Lonchura striata: one gene and its partner. The protein of the gene in region 1 interacts with the protein of each later gene in a pairwise test. Links are inferred from orthologs where the notes say so. Each region holds a gene or a part of one and is shown on either strand. Other genes may lie near its edges.

Region 1 (10,856 bases):
ATTTTTACCCGGAAAATGCCTGAGATTGGGGACAGTAGAGAGTTTAATTTTGTCTCTTCTTTTTCTCCACACTGATCAGGAGTTTAGAATCCCAGACTGGTTGGAAGGGACCTTAAAGCTCATCTCATTCCACCCCCTACCATGGGCAGGGCCACCTCCCACTAGACCAGGACACTTGGGACAAAGTAACAAAGATTACTGGAGCCATCAAGTGAGAACTGCAGATAACTCAAACCAGCACACACCTTGAGGGGATCCCAGTTCTTGAAGTATTCCTTCATGAGAGGATAAACTATGGCCACTGCCAGGTCGACCCTGTCTGACATCCTGTACTCCTCATAGTACTTGTCCTGCAGAGTCTCAAAGATCTTTGCACACTCATCCAGGGTCAGAGGGTTCTCACAGCCCGGCTGCATCCGCCTCTCACACTCCTCCACCATGTCCAGCACCTTGCTGAGGTTGCTGATGGCCTTCTCCTCGTGGGACAGCACCTCAGCCATCTTCTGGATCTCGTGGCTGAGGTTGACCACCATGTCCCTCTCGTACTGCAGCTGCCGGTCGCTCTGGATGATCTCCTGCTCCGTGATGTCGATGAGCAGCTGCAGGTTGTGCTCCAGCTCGGGCAGAGCAAAGCCCTGGGGCTTGGAGTCCTTGCCCAGGGGCTGCTGGGGGCTGTCATCTGGGATGTTGTGCTTGTGGCTGATCTGGCTGTAGCTGTAATAAACCTTCTGCTCCCGGCCCGTCATGTCGATCACCTGCCAGCACACAGAACAAATTCTCTAACAAAAACCTCTCAGCTTCAAAAAAAAAGAAAATCCCTGGCTCCAAATTGAAATCTGGAGATTTTCAAGGACCTTAATTACTCCAGGAGGCTTCTAACATACACTGTATTTGAACAAGGGGATTGCCTCCACAATCAGATATAGGAGTTACAAAAAGTAAGAGACAATCTGGAATCAGAGCCAGAAGAAGCATCTCCTCATCTCATCCCAGTTTCAGTGAATGATTCTACAAGCAGTAATCTTGCCATTAGTTGCTGCACTTAGAACTTTTATAATTTAATAAAGATACTTTAATTTCAGTTTCATAATTTTATTGAATGCACACCAGGCAAAGCCCTTACTGTCACAAAGCCCTTACTGTCCCTTTGAGGTAGAAGATCAAACAATCCCTAAAAGGACAACTGTGCTGTCAGAAGTGGGTGAGTGTTGATTATGACAAATGTGAAATAATTAAACTTATTGCAATTAACCCCCTACACACACATTTAATTAAACTTGTCACCACGTCCAGATGACACAGAGCTATTACATGGCTCAGGGATGAGCTCCATGAGGCTGCACAGGAATTCCTAGGACTGGCTTTACTGAGCTTACTGGTGCCTAAAATGTGCTGGTGACACCAAAGAGCCCAAACTGTTCCTCCACGGGTCACCTCTTGGCTTATCAACCTCACCTTGACCTGGGACAGCTCCTTCTGAGGGGCTGCAAGCTGCTTGCTGATCCTGCCCTTGGCTTTCAGCTCTTCCACTGTCTTGTAGCTGTACTTGGGCTTTTTCTTGCCTCCATTTGGGTCCTTCCGCCACTGGCTGAGCTCCTTCTGAAATTCCTGGACAAAAACAACAGAGTTGTGGTAGCTGCTCTTTGTCACACCCCAATTCTGCCTCTTTTCACAGGAAAATAACCATCAGATCCATGAGGAATATGTATAGGAAATAACTGGGAAGTGGAGAAGCTCATGTAAAACCAGCTTGGATGCTGTGGGCCAGTCACCCACCATGTGGATTAAATGAAGACAAAGCCTATTTATGTAGGGGACTCTTCAAAGGAGGGATTCTAGCAAAACTAAAGAAATAGAGTGAGACAGAAACAACAAAGAACATTACAGCAACAAGGAAGATCAGCCTGAACAAAATCGACATGCTGTGTTTGGCTTGTCTAAAATGAGCCCAGTTTTCTCTGACACACAGAAATCAAGAAAACTGAATTCTGTACATACAGCATAGCAGGGAAACAGCAAGAGCCCCAGGAATACCTCCTCAGTTTCCTCTTCTGAGTCCACCACAGGGAAGTCCTGCAAGGACTGTGGGGTCCTCTCGGAGCCGTAAGCACCCACAGCACCTTTGCCTTTCCTCTGCTTGGCCTCGATGGGATTGATGATTCCTGGCAGGATGGGAATGGGGTCAGCAGGAGCAGTTTGTGTGCTGGGAGAACAGCCAGGCTTTCCCTATGAGTTACCAGATCAGCACCAACACCCTCCCTGGCACTGCCTCCAGCACCGTGGTACTTCCAACATCACCAATTCCCTATAAAATCACTTCATCCCAGCACACACCAAACTGCCAAAGCACAGCCTTACTCCCAACCACATTTCACTGCCTTTTTATTCTGCCACATTAAAACAGCATCTCCTTCCCTGTGGGATGACCACCTTTGGAATTTACTGCCTTTTTTCTTGCTCCTTTTCTCTTGTACAATACCCAGAGGAGCAAACGAGCACAGGTTAGTTTGAACACCCCTGAATCTCACCACAAGGCCCAGATCACTGGCAGGAAAACAAGAAGGAAGTTTAAGCCAGATGGCAGCTCTTTAAGGAATCCAACCTCTCCCCAGAACCCCCAGTTAATAATAATAAACCACCAAACACATTGACAATACCTTGAGCATTCTTCCCCAGACCCCTGCCAGGGACATATCCCATCTTCTGGAGGAGCTTCTGCCCAATTCCTTTAGTGTGTCTCTCCCAGCTGCCAAAATCCACGAAGGACTTGGAGCCCCCTACGAAGCCTTTCTGGCTGGGCTTGAAATTTCCACCCTGTCAAAAACAAACACGTAAAAACCTGCAGCCCTGGGGCTTCAAATAACCAAAATGTGCAAAACTCCCCTCAGAAGGTTCTTCCTCCCCATGCTGGAACCATGCTTGTGCATCCGTGAAGCACCACTGGAGATTCCTGAAATTCCTCAGATGGGAAAGGAAAACCCTGAAAAAACTCTGGCTGACAACCTGACAGTTCTCAGGTTCCACCACCAGATTTAGCTGAAGCTGATTCCTGATTCTTTCTGGTTTTAACTGAAGAGTTTGAGTTTTACTCTATAACATGCCTGGATTTGTTAATTCTGTGAAAGTAGAAAAATAAAGTGTCTGAAAGACAGGAAATCACAGGAATTCTCTTCTTTAAACCTCCATGGACCAAAACGAATATTGAAAAAAATGAGAGGACTGATCCCCAAGGACACACAGTTATACCAATGTACAGTTGTACCAATGATTTATTATCCTGATTTTTATCAATGTATTTGTATCAATGATACAAAATCCCAAGCAAACACTTCCCTGACACATTTGGGTCTCTGGCTTAATTATTCCTCCCTTTTTTTAGTGCTCTATTACATCTCGCTGCCCTCGACCACAGCCTGAGTTTCACAAACCTAAAACAGAGAACAGCAAATTTCCTGGAGAACTCACTGTTTTCAACTTCTTGGGCACAAACTCCTTGGGAATCTCCTCCTGCTTCACAGGTTTCTCATCCTCATCCGAGTCCTCATCCGAGAGCTCCTCGGCCGCCCCCTTCCTCAGCCCAGCGCTCACAAAGCTCACGGGGGCTGAGTAATCCCTGGAGCTGCCAAACAAGAGGGAATTCTGCTCATTCCTGCAGGAGGCTGGGAGCTGCTGTGCCTCACACCTCCCAAAAATGGGATATTAAAGGCTGCCGAGCTGCTTAACCCTGCTTTGCCAGGCAATCCCCATCCTCCTCTGCGTGCTGCAGGGAGAGCACAGGGAAAATCCCTACAGGTGAGAGGGGCAGCCCAGCCGGCGATGTCCACAGCTGGGAAAGACGCAGGGAATGGGGGGAAAAGCTCCAGGGAACGGGCGGGGGGAAGCTCCAGGGAATGGGGGGGGAGCTCCAGGGAATGGGGGGGAAGCTCCAGGGAACGGGGAGGGAGTTCCAGGGAACAGGGAGGGAGCTCCAGGGAATGGGGGGGGGAGCTCCAGGGAACGGGGAGGGAGTTCCAGGGAATGCGGGAGAAGCTCCAGGGAATGGGGGAGGAAGCTCCAGGGAACGGGGCAGCTCCTGGGGTCCCTGAGCGGCCCGGGGGTCGCAGCCCGGCCGCACCGCTTCCCGCCGAAGCTGGGCCGCTCCTCGTCCGAGTCTCGCTCGGCCCACACGCCGTAGGTCGCCTCCTCCTTGGTCTGGCGGTGTCGCTGCCGGTGCGGGTTGAATTCGTTCTGCAGGTCCCAGTCCGACACCTCGAAGCTCTCCATCTCCACGCCATCGTCTCCGTCCGTGCCGTACAGGTGCGACATCGACATCGCGGCACCGCCGGGATGTCCCCGGCCCGCTCAGGGATCCCCGGCCCCTCAGGAACTCCTGACCCGGGACCCCGGCCCCCTCATGGAGCCCGGCCCCGGCCGCGCCGCCACACCGGATGCGCCGCCTTCACTTCCGGTCGCCGGCACGCGCGCGAGCCCCGCCCCCAAACCATCGAGTCGGCGCGGCCGCGCAGGTGGCACCGCCTTGTGGGGAGTAGAGGGGGAGGAGCCCGCGCGATTAATAATTAAAATATTAAATATCAAATCAACGCTTTAATGGTGTTCGACACCAGGGGTGGGGTGGGGGGCATATATTAACTCTGCAATAGCCTCTGCAGGGTCAGGGAGGCGGTGGGGGGGGAGGGCACACGCACCACAAAGGCTCTGCAGGGCCAGGGGGGCTGTTCCTGACCCTGGGAATTGGAAACAGTAGGACCAGGGTGGCTCTTCCCGATCCCAGGAATACGGAACAGCAGGGATGGGAGGGCTGTTCCTCCCACACCGGGAACAGGATCACGAGACACACACACACGCCATGTACAGAATCCTCCAGGCACGGCACGGGAATCTCCTCCCGTCCCCCCGGCTTTCCACAGCTGCATTCCCCACGGAGCGCTGCGACCGGCCGGGGACGTTCCCGCCGTGGAGCACGTTTGGCCTTTGCAAATAAATGCAAATACATTCCTGGAGCGCAGTCATTTGGCAACAGTAGGAGCAAGCAATATGCTTGGAGAACAGATTTCCACGGGCCCACTGCACGCTCTTCCTTCTCGGGCAACAACAGGCTGTTGGCAGCGTTCTGGAAGAGACAAAACACAGAACCTCAGGAGCAGGACTTCTTCAGGAGCAGGATCCCCTCAGAGCCAGGATCCCCTCAGGAGGAGGATCCCCTCAGGAGCAGGATCCTGTGAGGGCCAGGATTCCCGCAGGAGCAGGATCCTGTGAGGGCCAGGATTCCCTCAGGAGCAGGATTCCCTCAGGAGCAGGATCCTGTGAGGGCCAGGATTCCCTCAGGGCCAGGATCCCCTTGGGAGAAGGATTCTCTCAGGAGCAGGATTCCCTCAGGGCCAGGATCCCCTAAGGAACAGGATCCCTTCAGAAGCAGGATCTTCTCAGGGACAGGATTCCCTAAGGAGCCCCTAAGTAGCAAAATCTCCTCATGGGCAGGATTCCCTCAGGGTCAGGATCCCCTCAGGAGCAGGATTCCCTCAGACTAGCACAGCAACGCCTGACTGAGGGTTTAAAGATGACACAAAAAATGGCCAGAAAGGAACCAATTCTCAGCTCAGTACAAGGGGGATACACAATTCCTGATCTTCCCTCAGTGCTTCTGATCTTTTTCTAGCCCATATGCTTGTAGACAGAAACTTGCTCTTAAAGGATTAGTTTTAGTACCAAGAATGGTATTTTATGCTTTAGCATGGAGGAAGAACATCCAACACATCAACAGTTGTCTCTGGAACAGCAGCCCAAGGCAGCAGCTTTGTTTTCCATCATGTTTCCCTTTGTTTTCTATCCCCTTCCTCAGGTCCATGGCACGTCTTTGGAGGCAGCTGGGGAGCAGCCCAGCTCATCCACGCATTCCATGTGTCCCTGCTACCCGCAGGGATGGGCTGCAATAACCCTCCCAGGCAGCTGAGTTTCATTTTGCAGCTTTAATCCCCTTCCCAGAGCTCAGGAAAAGAATTCCTTACAAATGGTCCCACACAGCAGCATTGTGTGGGAAGATCGGAGGCGACTGTGAAGGATCCCTGGCACCAGGAGTGTGCCTGGAACCCCAGCAGATCCACAGAAATCACACAAACCAAGTGCTGGTCCTGGAGCAATGCAGGATTTGCCCAAATCCCCCAAAATTAAGTAAATAGGGTCTTACCTGGAAATCATTAATTTTCTTAGTGAGAAGATGACGTGTTCTGAGTCACCTGGAAGAGCCCCAGAAGAGAAGGGTCAGCTTTGAGCCAGCATTCCTCAGGGAAGGGAGCAGGGAACGGGTACCCTGGTGTGTCCCAAACCCTCAGGGTACACCTGGCTCTTACCTGCAGGTGACCTTTGAGATTGGCCGGTGTTTTATAATCCCCCTTTAAAACCTGTGGAAAGAGAACCTGGAGTGACTCCCTGGGGCAGTGGAATCACCTCTGGGTCACTGCTGTCAGCCATTCCCAGCCTTGCCAGGGGAAAGGCTGCACCTTGAGTGCTCTGTCCTGCTGGGCCCCTCTCCAAAACAGATATGGAGGGGCTGGAGCACATCCAGAGAAGGGAACAGAACTGGGGAAGGGGCTGGAGTACCAGGAGCAGCTGAGGGAGCTGGAAAAGGGGCTCAGCCTGGAGAAAAGGAGGCTCAGGAGGGACCTTCTGGCTGTGCACAGCTCCTGACAGGAGGGGACAACTGTGGTGGGGTCATGCTCCCAGGGAACAGGGACAGGAGAGAGGAAACTGCATCAAACTGTGCCAGGGGGAATTTCCTCATGGAAAGGGTGGTCAGGCTTTGGAAGGGGCTGCTCAGAGGGGTTTGGAATCCCCATCCCTGGAGGTGTCCAAGAAATGTGTTCCATGTGCCACTCAGTGCTCTGGGCTGGTGACAAGGTGGGGATCGGGCACAAGTTGAACTCGATGGTCCTGGGAGACCTTTCCCATCCTGAATGACTCTGGAATTCTGTGATTCTGTTTTCCCTGTGTGAGCCTGTTTCCCCCCTGCTCCATCCCGATCTGGTTCAGGAGCTTCCCTTGCTCCGAGGGCTCTGTGAGCCCCTGGCCTGTCCCCTCCATGGCAGTGCCACTCACCCTGTGCGTGTTGTTGACAACCAGCGGGTCGGGGTGGCCGTAGTTGGGGGGGTTGGCGTAGGGGTCGTAGCCGAGCCTGGCGAGCATGGGGGCGATGTGGGCCATGTCCTGCAGCACATCCTCGGGGATGTGCCCGATCCATTTGGATAACGCCTCCATGTTCACCGGCTTGATCACCTGGTCTGTTGACCTCTCTATCCTGGGGAAAATAAAGGACGAAAACAAAAGACACAGTGGTTGGATTTCATGCGTGTGCTGGGCTCACACACAGCTCGCTGCCACCTCCACACAGAACCACAGGACAGGACCTTAAATCCCATCCCATCCCACTCCCTGCCATGGGCACAGACACTTTCCACTATCCCAGATTGTTCCAAATCCTGTCCCACCTGGCGTTGGGCACTTCCCTGGATGGGGTAGCTTCCATCCCTCACAGCCCTGCTCTGGGGAAGCAGACCCTGGCAGGGGGTTCCACAACCCCAGAGGCTGGGTCCTCCTGTTTAGCATCATGGAATCATTAAGGCTGGAAAATTCCTCTAAGAGAGTGAGTCCAAACATTCCCCCAAGACTGCTGAGGCTACCAACCACTGACCCATGTCCCCAGCTGCCACATCTACACAGCTTTTAAATTCCTTCAGGGATGGTGACTCTACCACTGCTCTGTTCCAATGCTTAATTACTCTTTCAGGGAAGGAATTTTCCTTTTGATCCAACCTAAACCTCCTCTGGCACAACTTGAGGGTGCTTCTCTTTTCCTACAGGAGGGATCCATCCTGCACTGGGACAGGGGGTTTCACCAGGACACCTCTCCTTATCAGAGGAAAACAATGTAAGATGTGTGGGCTGTAGCACAGATTAGTGACCCCTATGAATATTCAAAACCTGATCTAAGCAACCTGGACCAATTTACTCTGAGCAAACAGGGAAGTAGAGCTGGCTGCACTCCCAGGGCATCCCAGAAAACTGGAGCAGCTGCACATCCCCCGTGGCTCCTGTGCCCTCAACATGAGGGCACCAGCAACTGATACAGAGACTTGGATAATTCCTTTACACAGCTGATTAAATTTTGCTAAGCCTGACTTAAGCCTCCATTTAGAAAAGAAACAGCATTAAAAGAAGAAAAGAAAGTGGGAGAAGGCAAACACCCCCCACACATGGAGAGGGCAGGAGAGACTGCTGGGTGTGCCTCCACTGAGCAGGTATTGCTTTTATTCTGCAATACCAACCCCAGACCTGGAAAGAACTATAGCTCATCATCATTGGCAGCACAACTAATCACACCAAAGATGCATCTGAGGACGGGTGGAGAAAGAGGCATTAAAGAGCTCACGTTTCAGAGTAAGCAGTTCTTTGCAAATTAGAGACTGAAATAATTTCTGCAGTGTCAAGAGAGATTAAACAGTCACCTGCTCCTGAAATCCTTGCTTGACAAGCTGTTCTGTGGAGTACAACAGATTGGGAGCATTAAAGCCATCTCTTACTTGGGAACACAAACGCCACTGCAGTACAACGTGCTGTCCCTCCTGCCCTAAAACCACACGCAAACACCAGCAACGCAGCTCTGTCCCCAGTTTTAGCCTGCTTTGTGCAGTGAAAACTCCTCAAAAAGCTGAGGAAGGAGCCAAGACTCACTTGGAAAGGGACACCCCACCAGGCTTCCCGATGAGCTCCTCGTGGTGCAGCACCGTGTCGCTCCAGGAGATGTCCAGGAACCTCATGATGTTGTGCATGGACTGCTCGGGGTGCAGCACCAGCTGCTCGTAGTAGACAGGCAGGCAGCGGGCGCGGCCGATCTCCAGGCACTGGGAATACATCACCTCGATGGCCTTGTTCCACTTGGTCAGGCAGTCCCGGTAGCTGTTCAGGTCAAAGCCGGCAATCGTCACCTTGCGCGTGATCATGGAGTGCACCGAGGCGCGCCCGTCCCGCACCATCAGCAGGAACTTGGAGTTGGGGAACAGCCGGGACAGGTACACCGAGGACTTGAGCGTGAAGGGGTCCTTGTTGCACAGGTACCTGGCGGGCTCGCCGTGCTTGGCGATCACTTCCAGGATGAAGGCCTGCATGGCCGCGTCCAGCACCTGGTCCGTCACCCCCGCCTCGTCCAGCCGCATCTTCTCGCGGCCGGACTTGGACCAGGCCTGGCGCATGGCCAGCACGCGGGGGATGATGCGGGTCTCCTCCCCGCAGCGCACCTCGGGGTGGGCGTCCAGCATGGCCCTCATCAGCGTGGTGCCGCTGCGGGGGACGCCGCCGATGAAGATCAGGGGCATGTCCTTGCTGTACCGGTACTCCACGTGGTTGGCGTCCACCATCACCAGCTCCTCGTTCTCTGGCCTCATCAGCCTGTGCCTCCTCTCGCTCAGGACCTGCTGGCACTCCAGGACCTGCTGCCCGAGGTGCAGGGTCACCATCAGGGCCGCCACCGAGCCCACCAGCAGCAGCACCCTGCGCGTGGTGACCCGCATCCTGCTCTCCTGGGCACAGGCTGGGGGCTTCAGCTCTCCGCTAGCGAGTGTCCAACCTCACGGGCATCTGCAAGAGAACAGCACTGTCAGAGCAGCGGGGCCAGCCCTGCTCTGATGGGATGCTGACACCATCCCAGATTTCATCACCTCCTTCACTTATCAGCACCTCCTTCACTTATCAGCACCTCCCAGGCTTGGTGCCCTACACCCAGCAGGTAATTAAAGTCTGTCTCAGTGCACACCCAAAGAGAGAATTTCTGCACTGTTTGTGCTCCCAGAAACACAGGTTACAGCTGGAGCAAAGCTCCAGGAACGTTTTGGAGAGGAGGAGCCCTGTATACTCAGGGAATCCTTAAAACAAAATCTTTACAGAGCCTGTTCCATCCCAGATGAAGCCCAGACCCAAGATGAGGTTTTTCCTCCCAAACCCAAGTCAGCACTCCAGCACCGCTCACCTCTCAGCCACCTGCATCCTCCCTACATTTTGTTTAGTTTAACCCTGTGGTCACAGGAGAGGGGAAAGCTGAAATAAGAGAAAAACAAAAGCCTCTCATGCCAGCTTTAAGGGTCTGAATCAGGAGAAACCGTTAGAAGGAAACGCTGAGAAATTCAACCACCTGAGAGTGAACAGCCACACGCAGCGTTCACCACCCTGCCCTGCCTCGCAAACTGACCTGACGGAGAAATCCGTGACACTTCATCTGGCACCGAGACTTTTTGGGGTTTTCCACGGCTCGGCAGGACATCCAGCAGGCAGGCTGCAGCTTCTGCAAGTGCCCAGCTCAGCTGCGTGCCCGGAGGGACTCCCGGGAATGCTGGCACCGCTTCCCACCCCCTCCCCCCCATCCGCCCCAGTTGCGAGTGCAGGTTTTGCAATCCTCCCCTGGGCTCACCCCGGGATTTCCAGTTCTTTGTGATTATGTGGCTGGGGCAGGAGCTGAATGGAGTGGAAGGAACGGGCCGTCCATGGATTCTGTTTTGCTGACAGGCCAAAGAGCTGCTCCAGAAAAGTGCTTTCTCCCCTCCACGAAGGAACACATTGTGCAGCAGCCCAATGCGGAGCAGGGAGCAGGCAGGAGAGAGCCTGGAGCTGGGCAGCTTTCCTGCTTCTCCTGCCAGGCACTGAGGGACTCACTCTGCTCCCCCCTTCCAGTCCCTGACATCCCACTCCACCATCGTGGACTCATCTCCCATCTACCCACCGGCTTTTATCCACCCCTGCCCAGGCAGTGCCTCTCTCTCACCCCAGGGATGCCCTCCCCCATCCCAGCAGCACAGCAACATCACCACCAAAAA
Region 2 (9,992 bases), on another chromosome or scaffold:
TAAAGTAATCACTGTGATTTTAAATATTGTTCCAATGTTTGTTTCAAATCAAACTTTATCTCTTCAAAGTGGGTTCAGGTTTTGAGAAATAAAACCAGCTGGAATAGGTATGTTCTAAGTCTCTCAAAAGTGATTTAATTGATTTGTCAGTAATAATAGATCTTGACAAACCACAAGCCCAGCATGAATCCAAAAGTCATATTAGGTTAGTATCTTATGATAGCAAAATACTTTTCAGGGAAAGTTTACAAGAGAACTGTGCTTGTGACAAACAAAACTTTTAAAAAACATAGATCAAAGCCTGTGAATTTAATGTTGACGCTAAAGAAGAAATAGCTTTTGACCAACTTTTCTGCTACTGCCTTATTTACATACAGAGTCCAAGTTATTTTTGTCATCTCTGTTCTCAGTAACAAGCTCATGCTCACATTTTAATGATTAATTTTATTAAGAAAAAAATGAGGTAGCAACTTTACATCAAGTTCAGCATTTGCATATCAACAGCAAACACTTGTATTTCTGGTTATTCACATCTCCTCAAAAGTAAACTTAGATGATCTCAATATATTGAGAGAAATCCTTATTGGAAACAAATAATGGCATGCAGTTAAAAAACCAATTTGTTGATACTAAATCCAGACACTTGTTACTAGAGCTATAGGAAGAGATGAGCACTGTAGCAACTGTCAGGATGAGTGATGCCCCCAAGCATCCCCCACATAACCTATTGCTTTTGTTTTTAAGAACAACCTTCATAGAAAAACCCACATTTTTGAGTTAGTTCAAAATTATTGGTGGTCTCCCATAAGATTGTCCTTGTAAATCGTAATGAACAATGAGAATATCCATAATAAACTTACAGACTACACACACTGAGCCTAACAGAGCAAATGCAGAAGTGTATCTTAATTGACAGACCCCCTCAATATCAAGAAATTATCAAATTAGGTAAACAAATTAATTTCCTCGTGTCAGCTGCATACACAAAGGGGGATAAATTAATTCATGTTTTCAGTGGCATCATGTTTGAAGGACTAAAAACACCACCAGATGGAAAAAGTGATCCAGTGGAACACATTCAAATACTCTTGGGTATCTCAAACAAATGATAAATGATTCTATGCTTTCTGCTAATTTTACTCCTGGAAAGTAAAATATAAAAGTGTTCACCTTTAGATAAAGATAAATGAACCATAAGGAAGCAACTCCTCCCTTTCTTGCCACCTCTTAGAGGCCAAACAACACCTCAAGGATATTCCAAACGGCACTGATCCTTTTGGAAGTGTAAAACTCAAATACACTCAGATCTCTGAGAATGTCACTAAAAACAAGAGTTCTGAAGTCAAAGTCAGCAAAATTCCTACACTGCAGAATTTGTGGATTTGTGTTACAATGTTAAACAAGTTGCATAAACTCAAACCAGATGAATTTTATTCTGGTATCCCCAAAACAAGGTAATGATCAACAGATGTGCCACAATAAAACTATTTTTTGACTATTCTAAATGAAAGTTACTTTTATCCAATTTTCTACTTACGTTGTTCTCCCCTGCCTTTAGTAGAAGTCTTCTCCGTTTGTTTCTTCTGTCCAGCATCCATCCCTGGATTCTCAATAGCTCTCTCTTCAGTTATTTGGATTTTGTTTTGTGATACCTTTTGTCCCTTTTTGTGCTCACCCTGAGGCACTTCATTTTCTTTAGTTTCAGAATGCATCTGCAATTTAAACATACTTTGTTTAACCAGTTTGTTTCAACTGGATATAAAGAAAGGCTGTTGTTCTGAGAACAGAGACTCAGTGGAACAGATTGCCCAGAGAGGTGCACAGCCTTCATCCTCAAGGCTTTTCAGCATCAGGCTGGACACTGGGCTCTAACCTCATGTCTGAGACTACTTTGGCTGGGAGATTGAGCAAGAGATTTTCTCAAGTCCAAACTGAATTAACCTGTGAAATACTTACCCTGTTACTTCACAAACTTAGATACATTAGAAAGCTTTGATCTGCATAGCTCTCAAATTTTAGTATAAAATTGCCTTTATGGATTAAAGTTAATTATTTGCAAGTAAGATTAAATTCACTGGGGATGTTGCTTTTTACTGTTGTATTTCTGCATACTGTACAATTCTCTAACACTAAAATACTACCACTCCTCATTTTCTCATTTCCTTCCTCTGCCTCAGTTGAAGTCTTTCAGACAGTTCTTAATTTACCTACTCCTTGTAACTCAAAAAAAATTCAACCTCTATCATACCTTGTAACTTTCTCCCTAAGTCACACAACCCTCACAATAAAAGTTACGAGGTTTAGACAATGGTGCAACTTCTGATATTTTTTTCTGTATCAAAAAAGAGATAACAGCCTTATTTTAGATAAATTCTGAAACTAGTCTAAGATTCAGAATATTGCAATTAACTAGTGAAATTAGTTTTACACTCAGATAAAGTGTTTGGAATTGTATATTTCTTAGGGGAATTTATTTTCTTGAAGCAATGACTACCAAGTAATGTCTGTTTATTATGGGATAGCACATAAATAGACAAAAGTCAGTACTACAAAATACAAAATACAAGTACCAGAATGCTGGCATATCAATTTTTGTACACATCTATATACACACAAACACACATATCTAAACACATACCATCTATAAATGGTGATTGAAAAGAAATCAAGTGTGCTTAAATTATGCTCAGAGGAAGGGAGGACAGCACACAAAAGCATGCAAAGCAAATCACCTGTTTCTCATCAGAAAGCACTGGGTTTTCTTCACTGCTATTAGTTTCCTCATGAGAGGTCCTCTTTTTTTTGTCCTTACCACGTCTTTTTGTAATAAAACACACTGAATCAGACATAATTTCCTCCTGATTGCTTAGTTCATCTGACTTAATGGAAGAAGATGCACTCTTTACAGGACCCTGTAGCAGAAAAAAAACTATAACTGGAAGATATCCAACACAAATACAAATTAAATACTCCAGGGACAGTTTCAATTTTATTATTTAAAAAAGTATTTTACACAGAGGATAAACAGTAGCATGCCATGTAGCAGAATAATAATCAAGAAACTGGCACTATCCAGATTCCCCTAAGCATTAAAGCTCATTGTTTGGAGACTTTAAATACAATTGAAATGATTGGTTTATCATATTTCATTTTAATAAGACTATAAAAGCCTAATATTTTTTATTTGAAATCTAACTTGCATGATGCCATGACCCTCCCATATTTGTACATTTGTGGAATACTGTTCACCAGTAAAAACAGGGCTCCTTTCCTGCTCGTGAAAATTTTTAAAAAGCTGACAAGGTTTACACCAGTTCCTCAAATCTTTAAAGATTTTTAAGGGATGCACTTAAAGGCAGATGCATTTTAGAAAAAGCAGATAGCAAACTACTTTAATCAAAAATATTGCCACACTCAACAAAATAATTAATCTTACAGAAAACGTTAAAGAAGTTAGGAAAACAACACATTAAGAGACAAATAAAGGACGTAGCACAACTGTATTGCTTTAATTATAAATGGAAGTAAATTGTCGTAGATGCAAAATGCTTTCCAATTAGTACCTAGTCCCCTTCATTTAGGCATGCAAAATTAATAAAATATTTTTATATTTAGTATAGAATAGTGTCTGTAGCCAAACAAGCAAGAATTAAGGTTTGTTCAGTGGAAATTATGTTATTGTTCACAGAGAATAGGCTTGTATTGATGCTGAAAAATATTGTTAATTTTGGCAGCTGAAAAGAAATAAGATTTAAGTCATATAGGCCACTTCAAAACTAACATTAGCATATCAATTTCTATCAGTATGTAAGTACTTTAACCTAAGGGCACTAAGAAGAAAAAGGTATTTCTATTACAGTTCCAATTGTGGTCAAAATCACCCTTCAGCATATACTCTGCTCTATGAGTTACATATTAAGGATTACATTTCTTAAAAGCAACAGCTGATTTATTATGTTACCATTTTTTCACTTTCTTCTTTTGTCCTTTCAAAGTGTTGCTTCAATGATTCCAGTAATTTGTCTGCCTGAAGAGAAATCAAAACACATGAACCAAACAGTCCATTGAGTCACTGAAGAGCTGCATAAGCCCAGCCCGCATCCTATAAAGTGATCCAACAAACCAGCAGAACATTTCCTGAATCCAAGAGAATGAGGTCTACCTAGGACTCGTTCAAGTCAGTCAGTTAGAGAAAGTGCCTAAGGCCACAGATAAACATGTAGATATCCTCCACCGAGGCACAAAGGCAATTTTCCATGCCTAGGTTTCTCCTGCTCTATTTTCCAGGGGGTTAATATTCAAGGAAGGAGATAAACTGTTTTAAGCCCCATAGCGCAGCTGAACTTGAATTAAAATTGTGTCAAATTTCTGCAATTGCTTCTGTCTTGCCCCGTGCTACGTGCAAAACATTCTTTTCATCCCTGTCACGCATTCAACAGTGATAGTAACAAAACAACAATGAAAACACACCACTGATAAGCCAGGCTATGAAAGACTCTTGAACACCTAAGTGGAAAGGTCAGCACAAAAACAAACAAAGTACCCCAGAACTACCATTCCCAGAAAAACTCTTGGTCTGTGAGGACAGGGAGCTGCCTTGTCCACCCAAGCCGTGGATCCTTCTTTTAAGGCTTTACGAGCTGTGCCATTGCTGCCAGGAGGAGCCCGGCCGTGCCTCACAAGCACCTGCAGCTCCTGGCAGGAGCCTGGGGCATCCTTAAACTTCTCACCCCTTAACCGCGCCCGCCAAACGCATCTCCTCCCTTAAGGTACTCTCTTGTCACTCTTCCTCCCACTCCGAGTCGTAAGGGAAAAAAACAAACCAAACCAACCAAACAAACACAACTATCCGCACTGGCGGCGGACAGCGCGGGGTCACCGGCGTGGGGAACAGCCGGGCCAGCAGAGAAGGGAGCGGCCTCCCCTTCTCGATGCCCGGGGGACACCGGAGCCCCGCTCTCTCCCCACACTGAGTGCTTGCCCGCCTCCCGGACGGCAGCACAGCCCCGGGGCGCCCCGGCGCCGCTCCAGACGCGGGAGGTGCGCCCGGCGAGGCTGGGGACGTCACGCTACCGGGCACGGGGGCACCCCAGAACCCGGAGCTTCGTGGGCAGCGCTGCCTCGCAGCTGCCCCCGCCTCACCCGCAGGTTGGCCCTCAGCCCGGCGGCCTTGGCGATGCGCTGGAGCTCGGCGTATTTCAGCGCCTCCAGGGGCTGCAGCGAAGCGAGCGCCATGACAGCAGCTCCGACCGACCCGCCTGCCCGCCGCGCGCCAACCGACACCGCTCGCGCCGCCCCCGCCGTTCGAACTGGCCCGCTGCGCCAGCCCATTGGCTGGGCCGCCGAAGGGGCGTGGCCGAAGGGGGCGGAGCGAGGGAGCCGCCAATGGCGGCGCGGCCCGCCGCGCGTGCTTATTTTCAAGCGCGATGAGGCGTTCCCGGCAAAGAAAGTCGCGCGCGGTGCAGCCCGCTGCCCAATAGCCGCGGGCGGCGCGGATTGACGCTCCTTCTGTCCAATGGCAATACAGAGGTGCGCACCACGCTCCAATCACGATGCTTACGATGCTTGGGGGCGGGCCCCGCGCCCGAGCGCTTGGCGGGAGGAGATGGCGGTGCGGCAGCGGCTGCGACAGCTGTTCCAGGACCCGCAGACCGTCGGGGCCATTGTGCTGGAGCGGGCGCCCGCCCTTGCCTCTACCGCCTGCGTCTCGCTGTCGGCGCCCCGGACGCCGCCCCGGCCGCCGCCCCTGTCGCCGTCTTCCGTGCCGCCGGCCGAGGTGCCGGCGTCGCCGCCGCGGCAGCAGGGTCCGCTGCCGGAGGAGTGCGCCGTGTTCCACTGCCGCGGCTGCTGGACAGTGCTGGGAGACTCGCTGCAGCTGTGCGGGCAAGAGCCGCCGGGGCTTAGCGTCCTCATCTGCTTCAGTCAGTGCCTCCTCCGCGCCGGCTGGTGCTGAGGACGCGCCGCTGCCCCGCGCGGACCTCGGGGCGGGCAGCGGGGCTTGGTCCGGGGGCTCTCTGCTGCAGCGCGTCTCTCTTTCTCCTCAGGAGTCACCAATGATGTGACCTGGGAAGAGTCGCTGTTGGTCGGCCTCGAGGGAGCCCTCCTGGGATGGTGCGTAGCTCCCGTAGTTCCGGCAGCGGACCTGCCCGAGTGGCCGCCGCGGTGAATCGTGCGCACGAAGCCGGGAGCTCTCCGGCCTGTGCGCGGGGATGCTCAGGAGTTTGGCAAGTCACTGCCAGTGACTTCTGTGCCTGTTTCACACCTCGGATGGAGATACTTTTTGTAGGGATGTAGTTCTCACTTGAAATCGAGATTTTTGCTGCTATAACCTCTGTAGGTGGAGAGAAACATTCGAGCAATGCAGTAGAATACAGCTTAACTTGTAGGTCCCTTTCTTCTCTTCCCTCAAAGGTCTCTTGCTTAAAGCATCTCTGGGTTTTGTTTGGTTTGGTGGGTTTTTGGTTGCTTTGGTTTGGTTTTGCGGGGAGGGGTGGCTATTGGTTGGTCGGTTTTTCTTAATACTGAAAATAAAAAACTTGTGCTGCCCCATTCAGGAACCTATCTTTTGCAAGGTTTGGTAACTCAGTCTAACGGGAAGAATGTAAAATGTCATCTAGGGGCTTACAGAACCAGTAGCTTGTTTAAATGATTTTTAAAAGCTGTTTTATAAACTGTCAGAACTGGGAACTGCTTCAATATAAGACTTGCTCTTTTTTTGACTTTTTTCCTTGCCCCTCTCTCTGCATGGGGTAATGATATATTTTATTAGAATTTTCAACTGGTGCATCCATTATTTTATTATTTAAATTATGTTTGAGTAGAATATGTAAATCATTCTGTGATAATAAGATGTGCATTTTCTTCCTTAACAGCAACTTCACTTATTTGAGAGATTGCTTCTTTCACAACATGCCCAATTTCTTATGGTCATACTACTTTGTACATATTACTTTTCTGAAGAGGATGCGTTATTATGCCTTGGATTTTTTCCCAATGGAACTGAAGATTTTATGCTCTCTGACAAATATGCAATATCTGTGGTTTCAAAAGCTTCTGTTTAAAAACACTTCCCTTTCTCCTTTTAGTACTTATTATTTATTATTCTGTCGATCTTGTGGCTCGGCTGTGGGCTTCATTCTTTACTCTTCTGGCAGTGACCTGGTGTATCTCCGGGACTTGTTCTGTTTCTTCAAGGACAGCATCATGTGGTGAGTACACTGCATTCCATGGTCAGTGACTTCACAGGTAGTTTCAAGTCACTGTACAACTAGCCTACAGCTAACAAAAGTGGTTTAACTTCTGTCTGAGCACATTGGTGTGGGATATTAATATTCTTGATGACTAAATTGTGTTGATGTGAATCCCTTTGATTTCCTTGCACCTCTTGAGTGTCCTTGTGCAATGCAAGACTTCATACTTCGTTGTGTGCAATGCTGAAATCTCTTCAGTTCCAGATTCATTTAGCTAATGTAAGGTATCAAAGTGATTATTTGATTGGTTGAGAACTTGACTGCAGAAGCTGTAAATTACTGAGAGGATCTTGATTCCAAAGTAAAACCATTGCTGTATTTTGAATATTTTCATAATTATTACTTTTGGCAACAACCTTGTATCTGATTTAAAATAATTTTAAATCATCTGTCTAAATAGTGCAACTACAGGTTTTGTAACTGTGTTTTTTTTCCCTTTCCCGTTTTGTTTTCCAGTTATCTCTTAAAAAATCAAATGATTGTAGAAGCTTCTAAGGTCAATTTTCCAGCTGTGACCTTAAAGGAAAACATGCAGAAAGTAAGATTTCCACAATAATGGAAAATACTTTTAAAATACTGATAATTTTGGACATTAATTCAAAAACATTGATACAAATGTGGGGGTTTTAAGTGCTTAGGACTGAGAAACTGCTGCCTTATATGACAATAACTGACTCAATGCATGAGACATGAACATTTTCTAAGACCCCTAAACTGCATAACATACCCAGTTCTAGTTAAATTTTGGCAAAAGTTTGTTATCCTTTTATCTTTATACCTTGCAAAGAAAAAAAACCCAAAAATAATTTATACAGACTTGGCCTAAGCATTACAACTTGTGTTGTCATTGTTGAAGAATTTAAAATCAGAATTTTTTTAATATGAAAGGGATTTTTTTAAAGAGATATTTTTATGTCTGTGCAAGCTCAAAACAGCATGGCAGTATTTGTTGTTTCAGAGAGAACTCTAGGACCTCCCTCCTGTTTTGGTGTTCAAATTGGATGTTCTTATCTGTAACTTGACTAGTTTGTTAGTTAATTGCCTGTGCCTTAGCTCAAATAAAGTTATTGTGTGTAGGAGACAGCCAGCATATCATATTTATGTGATAATTTGTTCATTACTTTTTTTGGGTTTCAGTTTGGATTTTAGTTTCTCTTGTAATGGACCTTTTACATTTCTTTAATTTTGTCCTCTTCCAGTTTCTGTAAGATCAGACTGTTTTTACAGGTCAAGTGAGGCTAAGATACAAAAATCCTATCCAGCTAAAACTTCTGAAGTTGACACATGATTTAGTAATAGTAAATGGCTGAAGTAAAAATATGACAGCACTTCATTGCAAACACAAATTATGTGACTGTAGAGACTTTGCTTATTGACTAGAACAAGCTCAAGCATCTGGCCTTTGCTTTTTGAGACATAATGTCCACATGCATTCCTAAGCTAATGATAAAACAGTTTGTCTACATATTGTCATAGGTTTCTGGCTGTGTGAAAATTTGAGTTAACTAGAAAAGATCCAGTTCATCATAGTAAAACTGCAGCAACTCCATCTTCCATTATGCCCCTGGAAGGACTGATACTGGCACACATTGATCCATCTCTAGTTTGTAGTGTAGCCTTCTGATCTGGGTGCTGGTTTTGTCAGTACTAAACATGCAATATAGAGATCAAGCCCCTCTATACTTTCCCATCTTGAAAATGAGCTGCTCTTTAGCCACTTAAAAGTGGGGTGCAGGTCATTCAAAGGTCCAGTGTTAGGACTTTTTTTGCTAATTTTAATACTCTTCTCTTTTTTCCTAGGTGAAAGAAAAGCTTGTGGACTTGAGTGCTCGCATAGAATTAGTAACAGAACATCTGGATAAAATAACAAAATAATTATGTAAAAGAACGGCAGAACTCTTCAACAGATCAACTGATACACATTTTCAAGAACTGTTGGAAATGTTTCTGCATCTCTGCTGTGTTTGGTCATTACCAAGAAATATTGCACCAGAGTAATTGATCTGTTACTTTATCTGTGTGTGGAACAAACTGATGATGAAGTGCATCCCTTCAGGAACACCTGAGAATCTGACATACTGAAATTATGCTTGGAAGACTGAATAGTTCACCCATGCAGCATGTTACTCTTTGAAGCTGTGTAAATGTGACTTTAGTTTTGTAGTGACTTCAGGGTGAAAACTAGCCTTTGAAATACTGAAGTCAGGTTTCTGGAGCTGTGCAAAACATACTTGGCAAGGTGGAGATATTCAAGAGCAACCATTACAAACTGAACATTCTTAGAGACCTAGAGCTCTTGTCCCACCATTTAATAGACACATTGTTAATGGCAGTCTTGGTTTTAATGGCAGCTAGTTTTTGGTCAAGTGCTCATTAGCTACAACTGATATGTAAGCCACTGCTAAATGGACTCCTGAATAGTTTTGAGATTTGCTAGTGTGTGTTGCCTGCAAAAGCAGCAGACGAGCACATCACAGATGCTGCAGTGTTCTTAGAGCATGAGTCTGGATGGCACCATGGAGGAAGAACACAAGGTTTTGAATTTAAGGTAATGGGCAACCCACGTGCCAGCAAAGTCAGTCCCAGGAACAGGACTGAGTCAAATTCTGCCAGCTAAGGCTGTGAGCAACTGCCTTGAACAGATTTGAGCATTTCTTTCTGGAACGTTAACTATGAAACCAAGGGACATTCTTCTGCACAATTGTGGAAGCACTGCTTTCCAGAAGTTATGAATGGCCCGTC

What was found.
Region 2: the proteins of TFIP11 (region 1) and OIP5 interact in binary tests that used the Homo sapiens proteins (3 or more experiments, as listed by UniProt). The two-hybrid records come from large-scale screens. The link is inferred for Lonchura striata from reciprocal best matches to the Homo sapiens genes TFIP11 and OIP5.

Annotation. Positions count from the first base shown.
Region 1 is NC_134620.1:10,620,827-10,631,682, reverse strand, and holds the start of TFIP11 (tuftelin-interacting protein 11), read right to left. Parts: upstream 4,437-10,856; 5' UTR 4,312-4,436; coding exon 4,115-4,311; intron 3,620-4,114; coding exon 3,466-3,619; intron 2,815-3,465; coding exon 2,658-2,814; intron 2,163-2,657; coding exon 2,035-2,162; intron 1,609-2,034; coding exon 1,456-1,608; intron 756-1,455; coding exon 246-755; intron 1-245. Other genes in the region: TPST2 (protein-tyrosine sulfotransferase 2), read right to left, coding at 6,204-6,233, 6,348-6,398, 7,093-7,291, 8,725-9,560. UniProt on the Homo sapiens protein: Involved in pre-mRNA splicing, specifically in spliceosome disassembly during late-stage splicing events. Intron turnover seems to proceed through reactions in two lariat-intron associated complexes termed Intron Large (IL) and Intron Small (IS).
Region 2 is NC_134608.1:37,490,694-37,500,685, forward strand, and holds the start of OIP5 (protein Mis18-beta), read left to right. Parts: upstream 1-5,572; 5' UTR 5,573-5,605; coding exon 5,606-5,921; intron 5,922-6,044; coding exon 6,045-6,111; intron 6,112-7,085; coding exon 7,086-7,208; intron 7,209-7,706; coding exon 7,707-7,788; intron 7,789-9,050; coding exon 9,051-9,125; 3' UTR 9,126-9,992. Other genes in the region: NUSAP1 (nucleolar and spindle-associated protein 1), read right to left, coding at 1,538-1,712, 2,733-2,912, 3,962-4,027, 5,143-5,235. UniProt on the Homo sapiens protein: Required for recruitment of CENPA to centromeres and normal chromosome segregation during mitosis.